3 linked regions of the Canis lupus familiaris genome follow. The protein of the gene in region 3 purifies or fractionates together with the protein of the main gene of each other region. This does not show direct contact. Links are inferred from orthologs where the notes say so. Each region holds a gene or a part of one and is shown on either strand. Other genes may lie near its edges.

The links.
Region 1: the proteins of PRKCQ (region 3) and CHUK purify together in Homo sapiens (affinity purification with western blotting, with the first as the bait; 3 studies listed by BioGRID). This does not show direct contact. The link is inferred for Canis lupus familiaris from reciprocal best matches to the Homo sapiens genes PRKCQ and CHUK.
Region 2: the proteins of PRKCQ (region 3) and IKBKB purify together in Homo sapiens (affinity purification with western blotting; 4 studies listed by BioGRID). This does not show direct contact. The link is inferred for Canis lupus familiaris from reciprocal best matches to the Homo sapiens genes PRKCQ and IKBKB.

Annotation. Positions count from the first base shown.
Region 1 is NC_049249.1:13,153,883-13,160,710, forward strand, and holds part of CHUK (inhibitor of nuclear factor kappa-B kinase subunit alpha), read right to left. Parts: intron 3,691-6,828; coding exon 3,594-3,690; intron 3,299-3,593; coding exon 3,151-3,298; intron 2,834-3,150; exon of another isoform or gene 2,596-2,833; coding exon 2,462-2,595; exon of another isoform or gene 412-2,461; coding exon 312-411; exon of another isoform or gene 1-311.
Region 2 is NC_049237.1:24,105,691-24,112,709, forward strand, and holds part of IKBKB (inhibitor of nuclear factor kappa-B kinase subunit beta), read right to left. Parts: coding exon 6,993-7,019; intron 6,904-6,992; exon of another isoform or gene 6,791-6,903; intron 2,975-6,790; coding exon 2,867-2,974; intron 1,658-2,866; coding exon 1,528-1,657; intron 1,149-1,527; coding exon 954-1,148; intron 275-953; coding exon 160-274; intron 1-159.
Region 3 is NC_049223.1:28,534,639-28,541,231, reverse strand, and holds the end of PRKCQ (protein kinase C theta type), read right to left. Parts: intron 5,144-6,593; coding exon 5,015-5,143; intron 3,034-5,014; coding exon 2,878-3,033; 3' UTR 2,327-2,877; downstream 1-2,326. UniProt on the Homo sapiens protein: Calcium-independent, phospholipid- and diacylglycerol (DAG)-dependent serine/threonine-protein kinase that mediates non-redundant functions in T-cell receptor (TCR) signaling, including T-cells activation, proliferation, differentiation and survival, by mediating activation of multiple transcription factors such as NF-kappa-B, JUN, NFATC1 and NFATC2.

The sequences.
Region 1 (6,828 bases), on a different chromosome or scaffold from region 3:
ATCCTGCCCCATCTTATTGAAGAAAATTGATTACTGAAGCAAAAAGGTACAAACCATTCAATTTCAGTGGTCACATTGCAAAAAAAGTTCACCCTTCATTTAATTTGACCAAAATGCTACTGCTGAAGATTTACTAATGACATAATCCTAGTATATCCATGAATAAGAGAAGATTGGGATCTGAGGTCAAAGATATAACTTAAATGTCTTTTCTCTTTCTTCTGAGTTCTCCTTTTCCCCATATGCATCCCAAATGCCAGAGGTGGCTAGCATGGAAAGTCAAAACATACCCATATCCATATAAAACTTACCATCATTCTACTGCCCTGTTCCTCATTTGCTTCATGAATAATAGTGCTTAAATGGCCAAGACAGTTCAAATTTTCTTCTATCATTTGTACTATAGTCTCCCTGTATGATGAAAAAACAAAGCCTTTTCAAATGCAGCAAAGAGACATACAAATTTCCTCTACCTTCTGGTCTTCAGGGTCAGGATAATCACTGCCCCTCCTGCAGCCCTGCAACCCAGCACCCCAATGCAGCTGATTCCTATGGTCTTCAGTTTCCTTATCCCTCCCACCCAGAGGCAGAGTCTTGCTTGTTAATGCAAGCTGTTGCTTCTGCCCAGCTTGAATGAGAAGAAATCCATTATAAATGCAATCTCATTTTCCTCTGAAATATAAGCAGCACTTAAATACAACTACCCTCCCCACTCTTGAAAAATGCTAATGGGGGGTGGAGTGGGAGAGAAAATTGTAGTGCAGACAGATGAAAAATCTTTTTGTTTCTGGAATATTTTCCTTTCCTTATAAGTAGTAAAAATATCAGTGTGCTTATTACTCCAGAGACACAAATATAAGGGTGAAGATAAAGAAGTACAATCTGGTCTGCAAAGATAAGGGAAGGTGAAAACTGGTTGGAAACTACAGATGACAGCGATGAAAAAGAAAACAAGCAAGCTGATTTCTGAGGACAGCAGAAGAAAATAGCATCATAAGGTAGCTGCCCAGAACCAACAAGAATCTCTGGAAGTTTATATTTGAAGAAAATCCTTATTTTGGTTTCCACCTTCCCCACTTTCCTCTGCCATTTGGCCTCTATCCTTTACCTTTTACCAGCCCTCAGTCTCTACCTTACTAGAATTAGTTCTAGGCCATAAATGATAGCCACTATAAGGTCAAAACTAAATTCTAATTCTAAAGCACGTATTCAAAAGATGAAAAATTGAATCCAACAGATCCCACCTTGGTGGTTAAGTATTATGTGCACATTGTAATTGAAATCAATTTTACTTTATAACGTATTCCTACTGGAAAACATTTAAAATTCCTGTCCGACATGCTTTTGCTAACAACCCAACCTCAAATTAGAAATGGACTGTATAGAGGTGACATTTGCAACCATTAGCATCCCCTAACCTAAATGCCTTTAACAAAAGTAAAAAGGTTAGTAATGTACTAAATTTTATTTGTTTCAACTCTGAGTAATGGAATATTTTCTAAAGTCAATTATATAGCCTGTGCTGTAGCTGTGGATGTATTACATTGGGCCAAATCTCTAACGATCCCAAGATACACCCTACAACTTGCTTTCTTTAAAAAAATAAAATACCTGATATCAGCTTTCCTTCCTGCCATGTGCTTTTCTCTCATAAAAGTAGAGTACAGAATGTGCAACTGCATGACCTCCTGAGCAGTGATGTAACATGGCTGCACTTCTGCAAAACTAATTATGGGCAGAGCTTCCAGGTAATGCTGGTGCTGCTGTAGAGGTCTCCATGAGTTGTGAGAAAAGCGACAATACACAAGCTAGCAAAGAGCCACTGGCTCTGGATACGGCACATCTTATGCTGAGAAAAATAACAGAAATGGATAGTCATTCAGCTTTTAGCAGGAGAGTAGGAATTAATAAAAGAAAATATAAGGCTTCACACTTGAGTTCTTATTTGCAAAACTGATTTAAGGCATTTAAAAAAGCCTGATTTTAGAAATACCAAGTTATAAAATCAAGTAGATTACACTCAATAATTCATTAGAAAGGTGATCAAGGACCCCAAAATGATAAATCCAAAAGACAGCATAACTTTTGAGATAAATGGTTATGGAAGAAATAGCTTGGGTAAAAGAATTGCTAAGCCAGTAACAGAGAAAGAACTTAAAACTTAGATTGAGCTACATAAGTAACATTTGCTGATATTTACTTTCCATACACTTCACATACAACATCTAATTGAATTTTCAGAACAGTTCCCATTTTACAGGTGAGGAAATGGGAACATTTAAAGAATCAAGTTAATTTGCCCAAGGCTATTACAAAGGGACATTATTATAAAAGGGACAGTCAGGATTTAACCCTGGTGTATAAAGTACTGAAGACTTTTTCTTAACCACTATGCTCTACTCTACCTCATTCCTACCACTGCTCTTGAAAACAACTATCTATTGTTGCAAAGTGAACCCACCCATCTTGAGGAGTTACCACGCATGACAGAGGATGTTCACGTTCTGCTGAATTTGGAGGAAGCCATGCTGATGCCTGAGGGGTTACTGCACCTTCTAGACTGGATCCTACGAGGGACCGGGCAGAACTCTGTGTCTGAAGGGGGAAAAAGTAAATAAGATTACAGGCAAGCACCACAATTGATGCATACAATTTCCTACAATGTTCCTAAGATTTACACTTCTACCAGTGCTTAGATGCACAACCACAAAACTATCCTCACCTTTTTATAAGTATTTCTGTACAAAACTATCCTGTCCTTGACCACCTTTCTTAACTAAAACCAAATGTATTTGCCCTTCTCATTCCACTTTTGTTGGAGAAAAAAAAAAAACAAACTAGTTGAACAAGGGGCTAGAGTTTTATTAACTGATCACACACATCTATTCCCAAATTGGGATAGGATGCCACAGTGGTCTACGGCTGGAAGGAATAGATAAACATGAGACCAGAGAGGAAAGAAATAATGGAGGATGATCATGATGTCCTGCATCTGAAGTCAAACACCAAGAAAAGAACATGAGCATCAACCTTAACACAAAATACAGACATCTTTAAAAAGGATTCAGCTCATGCCGAAAGAAGAATCCCTTTTGCAAAGAATACTAGCAAATCAATGTCACATTAAATAATTTATTAAAAGTTACTTACACAGGCAATTTTAAGGAGATGCCATATTTCTTTCTGTCTCTTTCCCTGCATAAACATGACAGTATTGTCAGCTTCTTTGATGTTACTGAGGGCCATTTCCACCTTGGGCAGTAGATCAATAATCTTCTGCTTACAGCCCAATAACTTGCTGGAGAGATGAAATCAGTGTCACACAATTAGACATAACCCTAAGACTATATACCATACTCCCACACCCAACTGGGAAAATGAACCACAATCAGCACCAGATTTAGTGACTGATTTCCAAAGTGATGCACACAAAATAGGACACCTAAACGCACACAACTGTGGCCAAGTTACCCAAGGTATTGCCAGATATCTTCCTGGGTCTAGTATATTTACAAAAAAAGGATATTACACTTTGAAAGGAACATGATAAAAGTACCCTGGCTTTTCAGTAGGAAATAAAACAATTTTTCTACCTCAGATGACCAAACAGCTCCTTGAGAACCCGGTCCTGACTCTGAACAGTATGCACAATGATCTTCACCATTTCCGTGCTGTCGCTATAGGAGTGATCTATAAAAGATCTCAGTCAGTGGGTATAACCTCTTTTCTGCATGAACATATCAGCCTCCAAACAAAAAATTCCTAAAAATCTGAAACTAGTTTTAATTAATAAGCATCTCCATTTAAATTTAAAACTGGATTAAAATTTTAAGATTATATAATGTATAAACAAATATATATCTAAAAACAAAGTGTGTGTGTTTAATGCATATATAAATTTATCACTGTTATCTTCACAGAACTTAGTTGCCTGTTTTGAGAAGGATATGTTTAGCTATCTTTAACCCATATTAACCCAAATCCTAAATCCATATGCAGCTTTCTGGCCAAAAGATCAATTTTTCTTGGATGATTAACATCATTTATTTAGAAACAGTAGGACAATTTATCAAACTTTCACTGGTTTAAAAGCAGGAGGCCCTTGACCTATCTAGGATACTTGGGATTTCATGTTTATCCATCTGTTTGCAGCCCATGAAACTTTGAAAAAAGCTGACTAACTTAAGCCAAACCTGATGCACTAATAAAAGGACCTATACACACCCTGAAAGTTCAGTCTGAGGGTAGTAGAACATCTTAAACTGGAAACTGCCAAATGTCCTCAAATAGGATGGCTGTGTGGACACAGTGAGTGATGAGTGAGTTCTACAGTCTACAGGAGATGTAACTCAATTAAAAAAACAGCAAAAACAGGGTGCCTGGGTGGCTCAGTTGACTAAATGTCTGACTTGATTTTGGCTCAGGTCATGATCTCAGGGTCATGAGATGGAGCTCCACATCAGGCTTTGCACTGACTGTGGAGTCTGCTTAAGATTCTCTCCCTCCCTCTCCCTCTGCTCTGCTTATACTCTTCCCCTCTCAAAAAAAAAAAAAAAAAAAAAAAACAAAAAAACAAAAAAACAAAAGCACTGTTACATTTCAAAAAATGGCATTTAAAGTTTTTTAAACTGGAAGACTGCTCATAGATAATGCTGGTATTTCCTCGAACAATTTTTAGTCTCAGCTGCAAAAATATTATTTGCTATCACCTACTTAACACTTTTCTCATTTAACCCTCATAGGAGTCCTGGGAGATGGCTACAACTATTACCCATATTTTACTATGAAAAGGTATCAAAAAACGTTTTTAAAAAGTTCAGTGTCCTTTGTTATCACTGCAAAGACCTCTCCCCCACAGCTCAAGTTTATTCCCTACACATGTCCCTCTGTCTCTCCCTCACAACTAGATAAAGAGTTGCAAATAAGCTCCTCTCAGAGACCTCAGAACATTAATCTTCTCCAGCATACAAAATGAAGAAAGTTTTTCACCATTTTTAGCTTAACAAGAGTCTCAAGTCAACTCTAAGCTAGAAAGACACTAGAAAAAAAGAATTAGACTTGCTCTATTGAAATTTTAAATTTCAATTATTCTAACCACAGCTTCATATCACTTATATCACTTTCTGTCAATATCTTGATTTTTTTTGTCTTCTATGAGCAAAATCTTAAGTCTGAATCAGTCTAACCTTCTGCTTTGTCAGTTCCTGCAGCCAAGCCACTAAACACCAAAAAAAATACTACCATTCTCTGTTGTCACTGCTAATTCACAAGTTTTCATTTCTGCTCTGGATTCTTAATAAATCTTCTGGGTCAGCAACATCTTCCACTGTACACACCAGTTTTGTTTTGTTTTTTAAGATTTTGTTCATTTATTCATGAGAGACAGAGAGGCAGAGACATAAGCAGAGGGAGAAGCAGGCTCCCTGTGGGGAGCCCAATGGAGGACTCAATCCCAGGACCCCAGGACCACAACCTGAGCTATCCATACTGTCGCTACAGGAGTGATCTATAAAAGATCTCAAGGCAGATGCTCAACCACTGAGCCCGTGTACATACCAGCTTTTAAAAATCTTTAGCATACTCCTTAAATCTATGCAGTCATCATCTCTTCCATTAACCTTATCACCCACGCCTTCTGTTAACAGTTAACCCCACTTCTTACTTCAGGATGGGAGGCTATAAGGGAGACCCCCATCTTCTAACCCCTACAACCACAAAGTGTCAGTATCCACACCCACAATCCCTCTAATACCAGAGACAGCAAGGCTAATTGAGTTAGCCTCTCAAGCTTGTTTAGGGACTCCCTTCTTCATAGGCTTTGGGCCCCCAAGCACATAATAAATATGCTCAAGTCTACCTTCTGAAGACTGACCTCCCTTGATTCTTCATCTCTTAGCTGCTCACCTCTCTTCTTTCCTTAACAGGAAAGCTTCTGAAAAGAACTGCCTAGATAAGCAGTTCTCAAACTTAGTGGTCTCAGTACATTCAAAAATTCTTAAGAACCCCAAGGTGTTTTTCGGGAATTAAACTGAGAAGTTTAAAAATATTTACTTATTCAAAAAAAAAAATTAAAAAAATAAAAAAAAATTTACTTATTCACTTAAAAATAACAATAAACTCACTACCTATTAACATATTTTTATTAAAAATAACTATTTTCCAAAAAATGTTAGTGAGAAAATTGGCCTTATCTTACATTTTTGCAAGTCTTTTAAATATAACTACTGATCTTGTTAAAAAAGTTTAAGTACTGAGAAGCTGACAATTTTCAGTTGATGGATACAAGATTTCCTAAATCTAATTTTTTGTCTGAAACATGGAGTTTTATCATTGCCAACTAACATTGTTGGTTTTTTTCCTTAAAGCAATAGTCATGTTTCATTAACTTTTGAGAAGACACCTGCCACTGTGGCTTTCTCAAAAAAAACAAAACAAAACAAAACAAAACAACCAGCAGAAGAAGTGCTCTTGGGGCACTTCCCGTTTCATTGCACAGCCGTAAGAGTAAAGTGATCATTTTGAAAAAGTAGATTGAGTATGGAAGCCAAGGATGGATGTCTTGTAAAGACATGTACCCAAGGGTTGAGATTTAAATAGAATTCTTATTACTTAATCAAGGACATGCTTAAATGATTTTTTTTTTTAAACTGTGAATGCATAGTGGTGAAAATAATAGCTACTTACATAATTTGGTACTAGTGCCATCATCCATACCTGCTAAGTAGGGTATAAGCTGTTTACCCACCAGTGTTTTCATAGCATCAGTGAAAATGTCAACATAGTGAGAAAGGCAAATATTGTCTTAGTGTTATGAAAATAGTTTGACCT
Region 2 (7,019 bases), on a different chromosome or scaffold from region 3:
AAGCAGAGGGTCTGACATGAGGCTCGATCCTAGAACCTTGGGATCATTACCTGAGTTGGAGGCATACACCCAACTGACTGAGCCACCCAGGCATCCCAAGTGATTAATCAAAACAAAACAAAACAAAACAAAACAAAACAAAACCAATGATGTTCTTACGAATACAGCTGACACTTTCAGGTTGGGGCCGTGGGGAGATCTGAGTCTCATAGGCGATTTTACTGTTGTCAAAGAGAAAGACAAGGTCCATATCCAGTGTGCGGCCCTCATTCAGCTGCAAAGGGACAAGAACAAGAAGAAATCTTGTGGGTCCCACTCCTGCCTTTTTCAAGTAATAACACAGGGATTTCAGAGCGCTTCCTGCTGTTCGCCGATGGCATCATCTTCAGCCAGCAGGTACTGAATGTCCAGGAAGCCTTTTTCAATGACTCCAGCCTAGATGTCCCTTTGTGTTCCCTTTATACTTATCATCCAAATGTGTGTCTTATTTACTACTTGCTAGTAGTAATAGCTTTTTTATCTATTCTCTATTATTTTTACTGTGCAATGCAGATGTTCACTATCTCCCTTCCTAACCAATGCTTGGTTCTCATAAGTTAACTTCATCGGTTCCTTGGGACAGGGACCAGGTGGTGCATAGCTGTAGCTGTCCACATGGTTCTGTACGCAAAGGTACACTGGAAACAGCTCTGGCTGACTCGGAGGAGCAAAGCATTGCTTTGGCAATGAAGGCAACAACAGAAAGGCATCTAAGTGGTCTGAAAGTAACAAGTCAACCGTAGAAGGATTCGTGTATCCCATTAGGTATTAGATCGATGCAGGGGATCTCACATTCCAACTAAAAAAAACAGAGAGGTACCTGTACCATGCAACAGAGTAGAGCTGAAATCTGAAGAGCCTGGGGGCAAAGTCAGAGTTAAACACCAGGCATTCTGTAAGGAGCAGGGGCTGACCTTGCCGTCTGAAATGCACTGAGCGGCGGGCTTGTCAGGGATCAGTGCCAGCCCAGCTTCCTGCAGCAGCTCCTGGTCCTTCTCGGGGATTCCTGTGTCATGCTGGATTCGGGCCTTCAAGTTCTGCAGGCTCTCGTCCTCAGTCACTGGATAGGTGTGAATGATGCCTGTGACCATGTTCAAGATATGAACCAGCTGCAACACAACCCAGATGTTATTGGAAAAAAACCCATCTTTACAGAGAAGCCCAACTCTTTGCCTGTGTCGTCTACTGCTCGCAACATTTTCCAGCCCCACAAAGAAAGGGGCAAGGCTAGCTGGGGGAAAGGAGTCCCAGTGGGAGCAAAGGAACGAGGGTTCCTATGTTCTGGTCTTTAATACTCCTGCTTGTCCACAGCTATGACCTTACAACTGAAGTCAGTTAGCACAGGGATAGGCACTCATAGGAGCCCCCTCTCCACGGCTCAGATGGCCCATGACCTGCTTCATAAGGCGCTCTTCTTTCTCCTGAGCCTGGCCACAGCCCCTCAGGGGCCTGACTGCTGCCTCGGGGCTGACCTAGCTCCGCACTTACCTTTAGGTTTAAGATGTCATCCAGGGCCTTGAAGCAACCATTGGGCCCGTACACAGGGTCGGTGCCCCTTTGCCGTGGGTGCCACATCAACATGAGCTGCAGCCACTTCTCCAGTCGCTGTGCCAGGATGCTGAGAAGAACGAGGGCACGGTGTGGGAGGAGACCACTGCACTGCCCTCAGGCGGCCTCCCACACAAAACTGGAAGGTACGCACCTCACACACACTCACCGCTACACATACACCCGTGGCAACCAGTATGATTATTGAAAATGAATTTCCCCCTGAGAGAAAGCGAACATTTCCAGCCAGACTAATGATTTGAGTGCTTATCCTTTTACCTGATCTGCTAAAATACCCCCTGAAATCCCAGATTTCTCAACAGATAGGTCAACAGACCAATGATCACCTGGCTGCAGGAGAGTGAAATGTGAAGCTCTTCATATGCCGCAGGTGTGTCCTACCTCCAGGTGAGCCCCCTGCCCCAAGCTAGACCCCATTCTGCCAGGTTTATTTTAATCCACACCCATCCCATGTCCTCCCTCCTGAACCCCTGCAGCGCAAAACCCACTCATGGTTCCCACAACAAAGTTCACACTCCTTCCCGGGCACAGGTCTGCCTCATGTAGGCACTCTCAGCCCCCACGAAGGCCAACTCTCTTTGCACTGCCCCTGGAACATGCCTTTGCTCCCCTCACTCCTTCCCCCTCAGCCTTCCTTCCTCTTCATCTATCCATGTCCTGCACATCTTTCCAGAAAGTTCCAGCTCATCCAAAGTCGTTCCAGTTCTAGTCCACACGCTACCGCTCTCCCCATCCTCTAAATACTCATGGTAATTATTATCTGCACCACTCGGCTGTGTGTGACTGCCTTGCCACTTTCTTTTGTACTACTATACAATGTTGATATTACTATCTAAGTGTTCACATTCTGGCTCTAAGACTAGTTTGCAATGCTGTGCAAACTACAAAGATTTGTTGACTATGACACAGTATGAGGCTACACAGGAGTGCAAAGAGAAGAAAAACACAATCTGAAAAGGCTTACGGTTGACTAGAAGACAAACCCTATGCAAAACCAAATGTAATACAAACTAGAAGCTACTAAAGGTGGTAAGAGGTACAGATAAATTGTTATGTGAATTTAGAAAAGAGATCATTTCTAGATGGGGTGAAGAGTGGGAATCCATTCTAAGTTTATGACTGAGATGATCATCTCAAGTCCTTAAGTCACAGGATGCTATCCTGATAACCTCTTGAAAAGCTTTCCGATGTTACTGCAGACACCTATTTCTAAAAAAGGAAGAAAACTACGTAGAGGATATGTGCCACTGTGCCTTACCTGTTCAGATTATTGGGATAGGGTAAGGAGCTTGAAAACTTCACCGCTCCATTCAAGTCCTCACTGACGACAATGTCCATCTCACTCTTCTGCCGGACTTTGGAATGCCTGCAAACATGTCATCTCCTTGATTATAGCCCCCAAGTCACTTGGGCAAGAGGTACTTTACATCTGTAACATATCACTTTACAACTGTACAGGATACCCCCGGGTTGCAATTTTATCTTTGGGTAGCAGTCAATGCATCTGCATCTGGCTGGGATGATTTCTTTGAGAGCTGAAAAACAGTCTGTACCGCCTGAAGGAGTGGAGGCATCAACCCTCCTGTGCCCAGAGTACCACAGCCAGTACTGCCAACTTCTAATCTCATCCTTAGCTTGTCTTTATAATTTTCTCCACTTTTCATTTTATCTAATACAAAATTCATGTTTTTTTTTTTTTAAAGATTTTATTTATTTATTCATGATAGTCACACAGAGAGAGAGAGAGAGAGAGAGAGAGGCAGAGACACAGGCAGAGAGAGAAGCAGGCTCCATGCACCGGGAGCCCGACATGGGATTCGATCCCGGGTCTCCAGGATCACACCCTGGGCCAAAGGCAGGCGCCAAACCGCTGCGCCACCCAGGGATCCCAAAATTCATGTTTTGACAGAGGATACAATTAGAACTTCCAAACCAGGATCACTGCACACGTATCACGTTTATAGGATATACGCGCAACACATGCACACGCAACACACTTCCCTCTAAATGTAGGTGACTAAATGTTAACTCTAGTGGTGAATGAATTCACATTTCCCAATTTAGAGAACTTACTGATGCACCGATGCACCGGAAATAGTATTTGAAGGGGAAAAAATGTTAAACGCAACTAGTTTCAAAGCTTTTCAGTGATGAGGAAAATGCCTTAAATTTGAATTATGCTTCATAGATAACCAAGTACTTCAACACCGAACACAGGCTTCTTTGCCACAATAATCCCATGTGGTAGGCCCTGTTTTTAGTCCCCCATTCAGTGGTAAGGACATGAAGATCGGTTGACTTGCCCAAGGTCTTATAACTACAGAATGGCAGATCTGGACTCAAACCCAAAGTCTACCATTCTTTCTACTCTGTCTGAATGTACAAGTCTTTCCTTCCCAAAAACACCTGGGAAATTCAAATAAAAAAATACTTTAGTCCTGAACACTTCTCATAGGCAAGGGGTCAGCTGGCCTGTCTGGAGCATGTGGGAAGCCTACAGGCACTGGCACATGGCAGTGGCCACCGGCTTACAGCTCTGGCTGGTACTATGATTACTGTAAGGCAGGGGCAAGCTTGTCATTAGTCCATCAATGGAAAATTATAAACATAAAAGGACATAGTAAATAAATGTTTATTGGTTAGGTCCTGAAAAGTATTTCAAAGTAGCATTACAACAGAATTATGAAGCTCAAACTGCCTCTGTCCTGAAATTACTATCCACTTGCCATCTGAGACGAGAGAGTGAAATTTTTAAAAAGTTGTCTAAGGCATTACAAGACAAATGAGACAGATAATTCTCACAAACTAGTCCACTAAACAGCTCCTGACTGGGTGTCCAAGTCTGCCTGAAGTGTCACCTGGCCTTCCAGCACTGGAGTGGAGTTCTAAAAAGCTGATTCTGCAGACAACAGACTTACCATACAGATGCTGGGACATTAGGGATATATTTTCAAATAGCACTTGTTCTTCCAGTTTGAATGGATTTTAACTCATCTTGTTAAAAATAATGAAAAAGCTCAACATTTGAACTGAAGAAAAGCAGCAATTCTTTGATTAGTTAAAAATATTGATGTACAGATATTTAAGTTATTTTTATGATGGTTATAGAATAAGGTGTGACTATAAATTAATGAGCCAATTCCTTAATATTCTAGAACTTACGCAGCTCAAGTACTGCTTGTTTTAAAATAAACCACCACAGGAGGGCATACTTTGCCATTTTGCCAGACTCCAGAAAAGCAGTCACCTGGCCTTATTTCTCTTTGCATTATACATGTTGACTGAACTGGACTGCCATCACAAAAACCACTCTTCTAGAGTTGATTTCCAAGGCTAAATCTTATAAGTAAATAATTAATGATGTAAGTTAAGTACCTGTCCTTTGAAAAAGTTACTGTTTTCATTACTTCCAAAAAGATATTTAGAAAAATATAATAGCCAGTGCTGGCAATGGTATGGTAAAAGAGGCAGCTTTGTATGTTCCTGGTCAAAACATTATTCATACAACCTTTCTGTTGAGCATTTTAATACACATCAAAAACCTTTACGATGCACATAATTTTTGATCAGTTAATTCCACTTCTAGGAATTGTCCTAGGGAAATAATTATGGATCCATAAAGATTTCCCTATAAGAACATTATTCTTGGTGTTATTTTAAGAAGTAAAAATTCTAAACCACCTATGCTTCCAATAACGGGGCATAAATTAAATAAATTTCAGTATAGCCATTCAGTTGCATACCAGATATGACAAATAATGGAAAAACATAAAGGATTTTCAATAGCAAGACTGAGAAGCAGGTTACAGGAGAGTATAATAATTTGTGTTTTTGTAAAAAGTATAACATATACTGAAGAGCCTGGAGACACACAAAAATGTTCATAGTGGTTCTTTCTGGATTGTGTGAAAGAAATTCTCATGGTGTAAAAATGTTTTGTGAGCACATGCAGGACAGTTCATATTATGTTAATCATTGATGTAAAAAAGAGGTGAAACACAAACGAACCAACAGACAAGTACAGACCAATTTTCTTGTACCCATATGAAACACCCTTGGAAGCACACCAAAAACCAGTAGTAGCAGGTACCTATGGGGAAGGAAGCCAGGTGGTGGGGAGGCTGCCCAGAGGGGACTTTTCAGTGCATACTCTTTTATCACTTTTGGAAGCTTGAACCATATGAACTTATTACTGCTCTAAAACAAAACAATACAAAACAAAAACTGGAAATAAAAACAAAATTTGGGGGATCCCTGGGTGGGTCGGTGGTTTAGCGTCTGCCTTTGGTCCAGGGCGTGGTTCTGGAGTCCCGGGATCGAGTCCCGCGTCAGGCTCCCGGCATGGAGCCTGCTTCTCCCTCTGCCTGTGTCTCTGCCCCCGCCCCTCTCTCTCTATGTCTATCATGAATAAATAAAATCTTTAAAAAAAAAAAAATTGGAATAACAGTTGCATCATTTAAATTAGTGTGTGGCCTCTCAATACTCTGAATGAAACCTAATTTAGGGGAATGTTAGTTTTCAAACTACACATTTTGGTAATGATTTACCTTCACATATACAATGAACACTTATACACTTATTTTTGTAATTAAAAAAAAGGCAAAGATATAATTTTTTAAAAAGTATATCCTTCAGTTTTTTATTTATAAATCTTTTTTCTGGTAACTTTCTTGTGTGCAAATTGGTTCAAATTTTAAGCCACTTTCTTATGCTTTTATTTTTTATTTTTTTATTTTTTTAAAAAGATTTTATTTATTTATTCATGATAGTCACACAGAGAGAGACAGAGAGGCAGAGACACAGGCAGAGGGAGAAGCAGGCTCCATGCACCGGGAGCCCGACGTGGGATTCGATCCCGGGTCTCCAGGATCACGCCCCGGGCCAAAGGCAGGCGCCAAACCGCTGTGCCACCCAGGGATCCCTCTTATGCTTTTAAAACAAAAATTTATATTTAGGAATGGTAAAATTTGTCAATAATACACTTCCACGAAAATACTTATCATTTGTCTTGCATACATGTCCTTTATTTATTTACTAATACACAGCATCTTCAGTATAAGTACACTGTTGTATAAAGCAGTCTGTAAATGTACTGGCATGTTGCTACTGAATACAGGGCAAATATTTATAAGGCATTACTTTTAAAGATGTTAACACTTTAACAATTGCTCTACTTTTCCAGGATTTTTGAGTCTGGACTGCCCATGTGCTGGGTCCTAACATGACATCCTCTATGGGAGACAGATGACCGATGCCTCGGGCCCAGGCTGGAAGTGCCCGGTGAGGTGGGAACAGGTAAAGGATGTGACAAAGACAGGGGGACACAGTCCTCCCTTCAGGAGGTGCTCCTCGCCCCACCCACAGGCCCCCCGTCCCTCACTCACCACTGCACGGGCTGCCAGTTAGGGAGA
Region 3 (6,593 bases):
ATGGGATACCCCAGGGCAGAGATACTTTATGGCAGATGTGTCAACTGAATTGGATCTTGAGAGACAGATGTTGAATGTGTAGAAATGGGACATTCTAGACAGAAAAACTAATATCAGGGAGTCCCAGAGGTGGGAAGTGGTGGGAGTTTAGGTGGCGCTAAGAAATTCAGATTGACTAGAGCACAGGTGAGTGAAAGGTGGAAATGGGAAGTCGGGTAGAGAGGTTGGGGACAGAATGGGTGGTCTTACATGGGTTTTAGGCAGTGAAGATGACACAGAGTTTTGAAAATGAGTGTGATGGGATTAAAAACTTTGATTTGTGAAGATATTTTCATAAATAATAAAGATTATCTTAAGCTAAGACACTTGGGATTCAACAGATGCAGAAAGAGGCCTTCTGGGAGCTTTCCTTATCTAAGAACAGAAATTTCAGAGAAATGAGGACTCCTAAAAATTCCTTCTTCAGAGTGGGTCTATTGGTAGGCATGAGACCAAGAGTAAACCTACTTATCATAAATCCCCTTTCTGGGGGAATGTTATGGCCCTAAGGAAGATGGAAAGAGCACTCATACCTGTATAGACAAACATTATCACAAACTTTCTTATTTCCTATTTGTTCTCCTGAAACCCCATTTACACTACTTAAAGAAACTTATTTGTCCTTCCCATAGGAGGCTTTTCTCTGCCCCCACCCTCCTTTCTCCTGCTAAACTAGGAACTTAAGTCCCAAATTCCCCAAACCACTCCTTTGAAATACTCATCACTGGGCAATCCTATATATATGCATGTAGCATGTGTAAGTAAAAGTAGGCTTCTCTTGCTGATGTCTTTTGTCAGTTTAATCAGCAGGCCCAGGTTATTAATGGAGGAGGGTAGATAAAAAGTTATTCCTACCCTATAACGTATGTTGTATGCATGAATTAAAATGGGGAGAAAGGCTTAAGATGGGGGATATTGATCCAGGCATGACTAGCAGAAGAGAATGTAGAGATGAGTATGTTTTTTTGGACACACTACAAAAGCAGAATCATAAGGATTTGGTTAAAAATTAAGGAGAGGGGACAGTGAACAATGACTCTGAGGTTCTGAGCCTAGATGACTGGACCTAGAGTGGTACCATTAACAGAGTTAGGAAACACAATAGAGATAGAGATTATAAGAAAATAGAGCAAGTCAGCAGAGACTGTTTGAAAGCTGGAAGCAAAGTTAGAACTGGAGATGTGGACTTGAGATGATATGCGCTGGGTGATGAAGGTATGAGGTATGATGTGGCAGGAAAGAACCAAAGGAAGGTGAAACCAAGATGAGGAATGGGGCCTTGGAAGTGATTTGAGGTAGGAGGAAAGGGGCTGGTCAAGGGGGCAGTCAAAGGTGGAGGGAGAACAAGGGAAAGTGCTGTGTCACAGTGTCTAACGGGGCTGAGATTGAAGGGAGGATCTTTCCTCATATTAAAAAAAAAAAAAACTGCAGAAAGGTAGGTGAGGACCTAGTGCATTCCAGGAAGGTAGTCCTGGGAGGAAGCAGTGCCTGGGGACATGTAGGAGGACAGAGCTGGATTCAGATGTTGGAGGAGTAGAGACAATGTGTAGACCACTCCAGAGATATCTCATGGTGAAGGGAAAGAGGAACATAGTAACAGTAATTTAGAAGTTACCTGAGTTTCTCACCTATTTGGGGATTTTTAGGGATTCCCAAAATTTACAACATAAACTCCATGCTAGCTACATTTTGATGATAACCACAAAAAAAAACCCAAGTTCTTAGGGGCAAGTAGGGAATAAAACTATTAGGAGGCATCTTTCTTTCTTTCTTTCTTTTATTCCATTTTTACATATCTCCACCTCTGTCATTAAGTCACAATATTTTATCAAAATATACAAATAGCACAGATACTTAAAAATGTATAGCTAAAATTCTAGTTAAACAAGATCAACTGCTACAAGTAGCATGCATAGGTCTTTTATCTTGAATAATGCCTAAAGGGAGACAAATGAGTCATCAAATCAACTTTAAGGGTATAAGAGATTGCTTTGCTTTTCTGTTGTAAGGATTATGCACTTCCTTTTTTTTGTTACAGTGTGAAGAGTATGGTAATGAGTGACTTCCACTGATACTGAAATCAACTGAGAATGGGTGGATGGGGTGGTTCTATTGGCAGGAGTAAGTGATTCTATCTTTGTTGGACTCTACTGTCTATGTTGACAAGATAGCCAGAGTAGGTGTTTTATTAAACCCTCCATCTCAGTGACATGAGCTCTTCTTTACTTTCCATTTTCCTCTTTCCCGAGAATCTCATGCCTAATCAGAATGAATGGATCTGTAAATCTCGAGTTACAAGCTATGTTTATTGTGAAGAATTCCCATAAAAACCTATTCAGGGCTTCCCCCACCACCATTTACGCTTCCACAGATGCAAACAGAACAAAACAGGTTAGTGGTTACTTGTCTGTGGCTGAATGAAGTCCACTCCTGCAGAGGGTGAGGCGCTGTTTCAGTCTTGAGACGTCTGTGCTCACTCTGCCTTCGGCCACTCATCAGCTGTTGATGCCCATGTGAAGAGCCATGATTTCGGGCAGTATTAACTTTTCAGGTCTTTTCACATTGCAGAGAACCATTGTGCCAGTAAGTAACTATGGTTAGTAATGACCTCGCTTCAAGAGTGGCCACAGGAGAGGACAGAGAAGCACCGAAGGGTGTAGTTATTAGTGGAGGAGTTGGCTTCTGCTGTAGATGCAAAGTCAGTGAGGAGCTAAAAGGTCTCAGCCTGTATTATTGAGTGTTTCTTTTCTTTCCCAAGGTGAAAAGGAATCCAAGGAGCGTCACTGGAACCAGTTCACAGACACAAGACAAATTCCCTTGTGTGTCAGGGGATGTGCTTCAGGATATCAACTTCTCCATCCCTGGGTTAATGAAGGAAAAGTTTCTGAACATGTTCTGGTCCATGCTGTTGATCAGGGCTCTGTCAGCAAATGACAGCCGGGGTTTCTCATTTAAGAATTCTTTGTCGAAATTGCTGCAGTCATACGGTGATTTCTTCATCCGAGTTTAAGGGAAGGGTGGAGGGAAAAAGGGAAGAAAATCAGGCATTGAATTATTTATCTTCATTTTTGTTATCTGGGTTCAATCTGTGTATGACCATGTGGGCATTCCAGGTAAACTGAAATAATATTTATAGATGGTCATAGGATTTATGGAACATTTCTAAGATCCTGAGCTGTGCCCTTAGCAATGGTACAATTAAATTCATGTCAAGGAATTTCATTATATACATCAAATAGTATCTCATGCTTCTGGTCAATAGTTTACATGAAACAGGATTGACAACCTTTGAAACAGTGGTGAGCCCAGATTTGACCTGTAGCCTTTTGGTGTTCAGGGGACAGTTTGGGGAAGGGGAAGAGGGTCGGAGCAGAAGTCAGGACTTTTGCAGATTATATACTCCTGTTCTTATATCAATATCCTTCACTATTTTTAGTCCTCTACCCATATTAATTTCATTATTAACCATTTTGGACTTCTTCTATAGACAGATTGGGACTAGCTCCCCTTAAGCCACCTGGTCCATTGGTGCTCATGAGAAAAGAAAAAGAAAGAATGTAAAAACGAACACCTATTTATAAATACTGCTTTGTATGGTGTATGGTTCAATTTTTTTAGATTATCAAAAGTCACCTTTGTGTATATATGAGTAACTAAGAGTCAGGCTCTTCCTATCCTCAAGAGGGCTCCTGGCTGGTGAGACCAATAGCCTGTGGCCTCTGCCTACAAATAGCTGTTTAGACAACACATGAGGGAAATTCCTTCCTACTGGTAGAATCGAGAATTGTCCTCTAGGGAAAGTGTAGATCAAAAGTCTGATTTTTAGGTGGATAATATCAAGTTGATTGTAATGTACCATGGAAGTTGAGACATGAATTATATTGTTCTGATGAGCTAAAACAAGGTAAAAATTCATTTTATCACAAATTATTAACTCATAGTTTAGGTATGACGCTATTAAAAATAACAAGAGTGCTATAGGCCAGCCTGTAGAACCCTTAGAGCATCCCCAGAGCTTGGGTCAAATGTTGAGACTAACTTTGCTAACCCTGAGAACACAGTTGCCTCCTCTGGTCAACCGCTATCCTGATGAATGGGAGTAGCTCTTTTCTAGAGTGGAGCATGTCATCCCACCCATGGAACATCTCACCCATGGAACAGACATAGAGATGTCATCTCTATGCAAAGAGATAGTCGAGATGGTTTATATCTATCTGGGTCATTACTTCTTTTTTTCCCAGGAATCACCAGGAATGGGTAAAGATGGCAAACACACCCCTTTGGTTTACTCTTTTAAAAAATAACTTCATGTAAAAATTGTACTAAAATATACCTAACATAAAAGTGACCATTTGAACCATTTTTAGGAGTACAGTTCGGTGGCATTAAGCGCATGCATTGTTATCAACATCCATCTGCAGAACTTTCTCATCTTAACTGTGTTTTATTTTTGTCTTCACTTTATGGCGGCTTGTTCTGCAAGTGGTCAAGTCACTTTTTCTCAGTGAGGTTAGTGACTTTTGCTAGTGAGCGTACACATGGGAGTTTAGAGACCTGTCTTTTCTTAAGCTCCAATTTACTTCTTAAACCAAAGAACATGTAACAATCACCATTAGGAGATACAGGTATGTGAATGAATTACAAACATCAGACAAACTCCTTATCTCATCTGAGAGTCACCTGGCACGTGCGTGTTAAGTCTGAGGCACGTACGCCCAACAGCTCCTTTTCATGCAGGTACATTTTCGTTGCAGAGGTTAGATACTGCAAACAAGAGTAACATCCCCTTGCTCCCCAACCCCCCACCAGCCAAACAACCTGAATTATGGTTAAGGAAGCACCTTCCTCCAAGAACTGAATCCAGGAGGGAAGCTGGGGCCCACACAGGGGTGAGGGGAAGCAGGCAGGCAGCCTTGGGGGTGAGTGGAGCAAGGCGGGAATGGTGGGGAGCCAAAGGTCCTGGGTGGGTCCTTACCACTTTAGGCCGGAATGGTGGGTCAATCTCCTTTCTTTCAAGCTCTTCCCAGTTGATCTCCCGAAACAAAGGATGCTGGCGGATGTCTCCCCTCACTCCCAGCCTCTTTTCAGGTTCCCTCACGAACAGCTGAGCAACAGCAGAAAGGAGCAGTTATTTCTAAAGGGAAGCCTCAGACAAGGTTGCATCTCTTAGTACCTGAGCTTGGATCCCCAGGAATTTGACTCCATGAAGGTAAAGGCTCAGCGATTTGACACATGCTTTTCTAACTTTATTTTCCTACTTACCAGTGTCACCTGTTGCTTCAAGTCACACCGGTGACAACATTCTCCCTCAATTGAGCCTTCTAAATATTCTGGAATCTGGGCTTTTGCTTCCTTGCTCTTTGCCCTAGAAATGCTGTCTTTCAAGGGGATCTAGACCAATTTATAGGACCTCTGGTAGGATACCAAACTTTTCGACTCAGTGTCCTCATGTGTAAAGTGAGTCAAGTGTCCTTCCTGTGGGGCTGTTCTGTGGGTGGGATGATAAACACACACACACACACACACACACACACACACACACACACACACTGATTCCTGGGGTGTAAAGTGCAACAACATAGAATAAGTGATCAATTGGTTGACTTCCCATTGATCAAGTCTGATTTCTTACAAAGCTGCCTTCTAAGGATAACCGTCTTGCTATGAGGAGAAGCTCACTTCAGGGATAATATAAACTAGTTGCCAATAGCCCCCTTGGAACAAGACATCTGCAAACCTGCTGGTAAAGTAATGTTTAATTCAAATCATCTTTAATATTTTTTGACTTGTTTTTTTCCCCACACTGTCCCCTCTCCTGTTACTTTCCTCATGAGGTGAAACTGAACATTGGCCAGGATAGGAAAGAAATCTGGAAACTCTTCGAACTGAAACACAGCAGGTCAAGGGCAGTACTGAATGGGAGAGACCAAGCCTCTTGAGCCAAGAGGCAAGCCACAGGTCCTGAGTGCCTGCAGTGGTTACCCCTTTTTTCATACCCCTGCTAGATGTTTGTTTAGAATGTAACCGCTGGCTACAGGGTGTCTTAAGGACACCATGGGTCCCTGAAACAGAAACCAGAGTGAAATGAAGTGATTTTCCATGAGCTTCTGGCAGGAACTCACCTCCATGAACAACTAATTTATAGGGATCTCTTGCTTTTACTTCTTTTAAGAACAGCCAGTCTATATGTTTTCAAACACTGCTTTACTTGTCTTGCCTTCCTACCTGAAAATCTTCAGAGGCTCTACCAAAACCACCCTTATCCCGCAATCCCAAAACTAAAATAACAAAAACCAACATGCTTGGATGTTGCATGTTCACTTCGTGCAAAGTGAAGTGTTTTTTTCCTTTTTTGTAATTATGATAATCTTTTTAAAAGTCCAAGTGTAACACTCATGCAACCACCTAGTAGAGCCACATGGCTAGTCACCCTAACTTCCTTCCCCCCTTACCCTATGCTGGCTGCTGAGGTCTCTCAATGGAACTTAAGGTTCAGCTCTGTTAGAAAACCACTAACATGAGGCTGTCACCCAAGAGACTTACTACCCACGAGG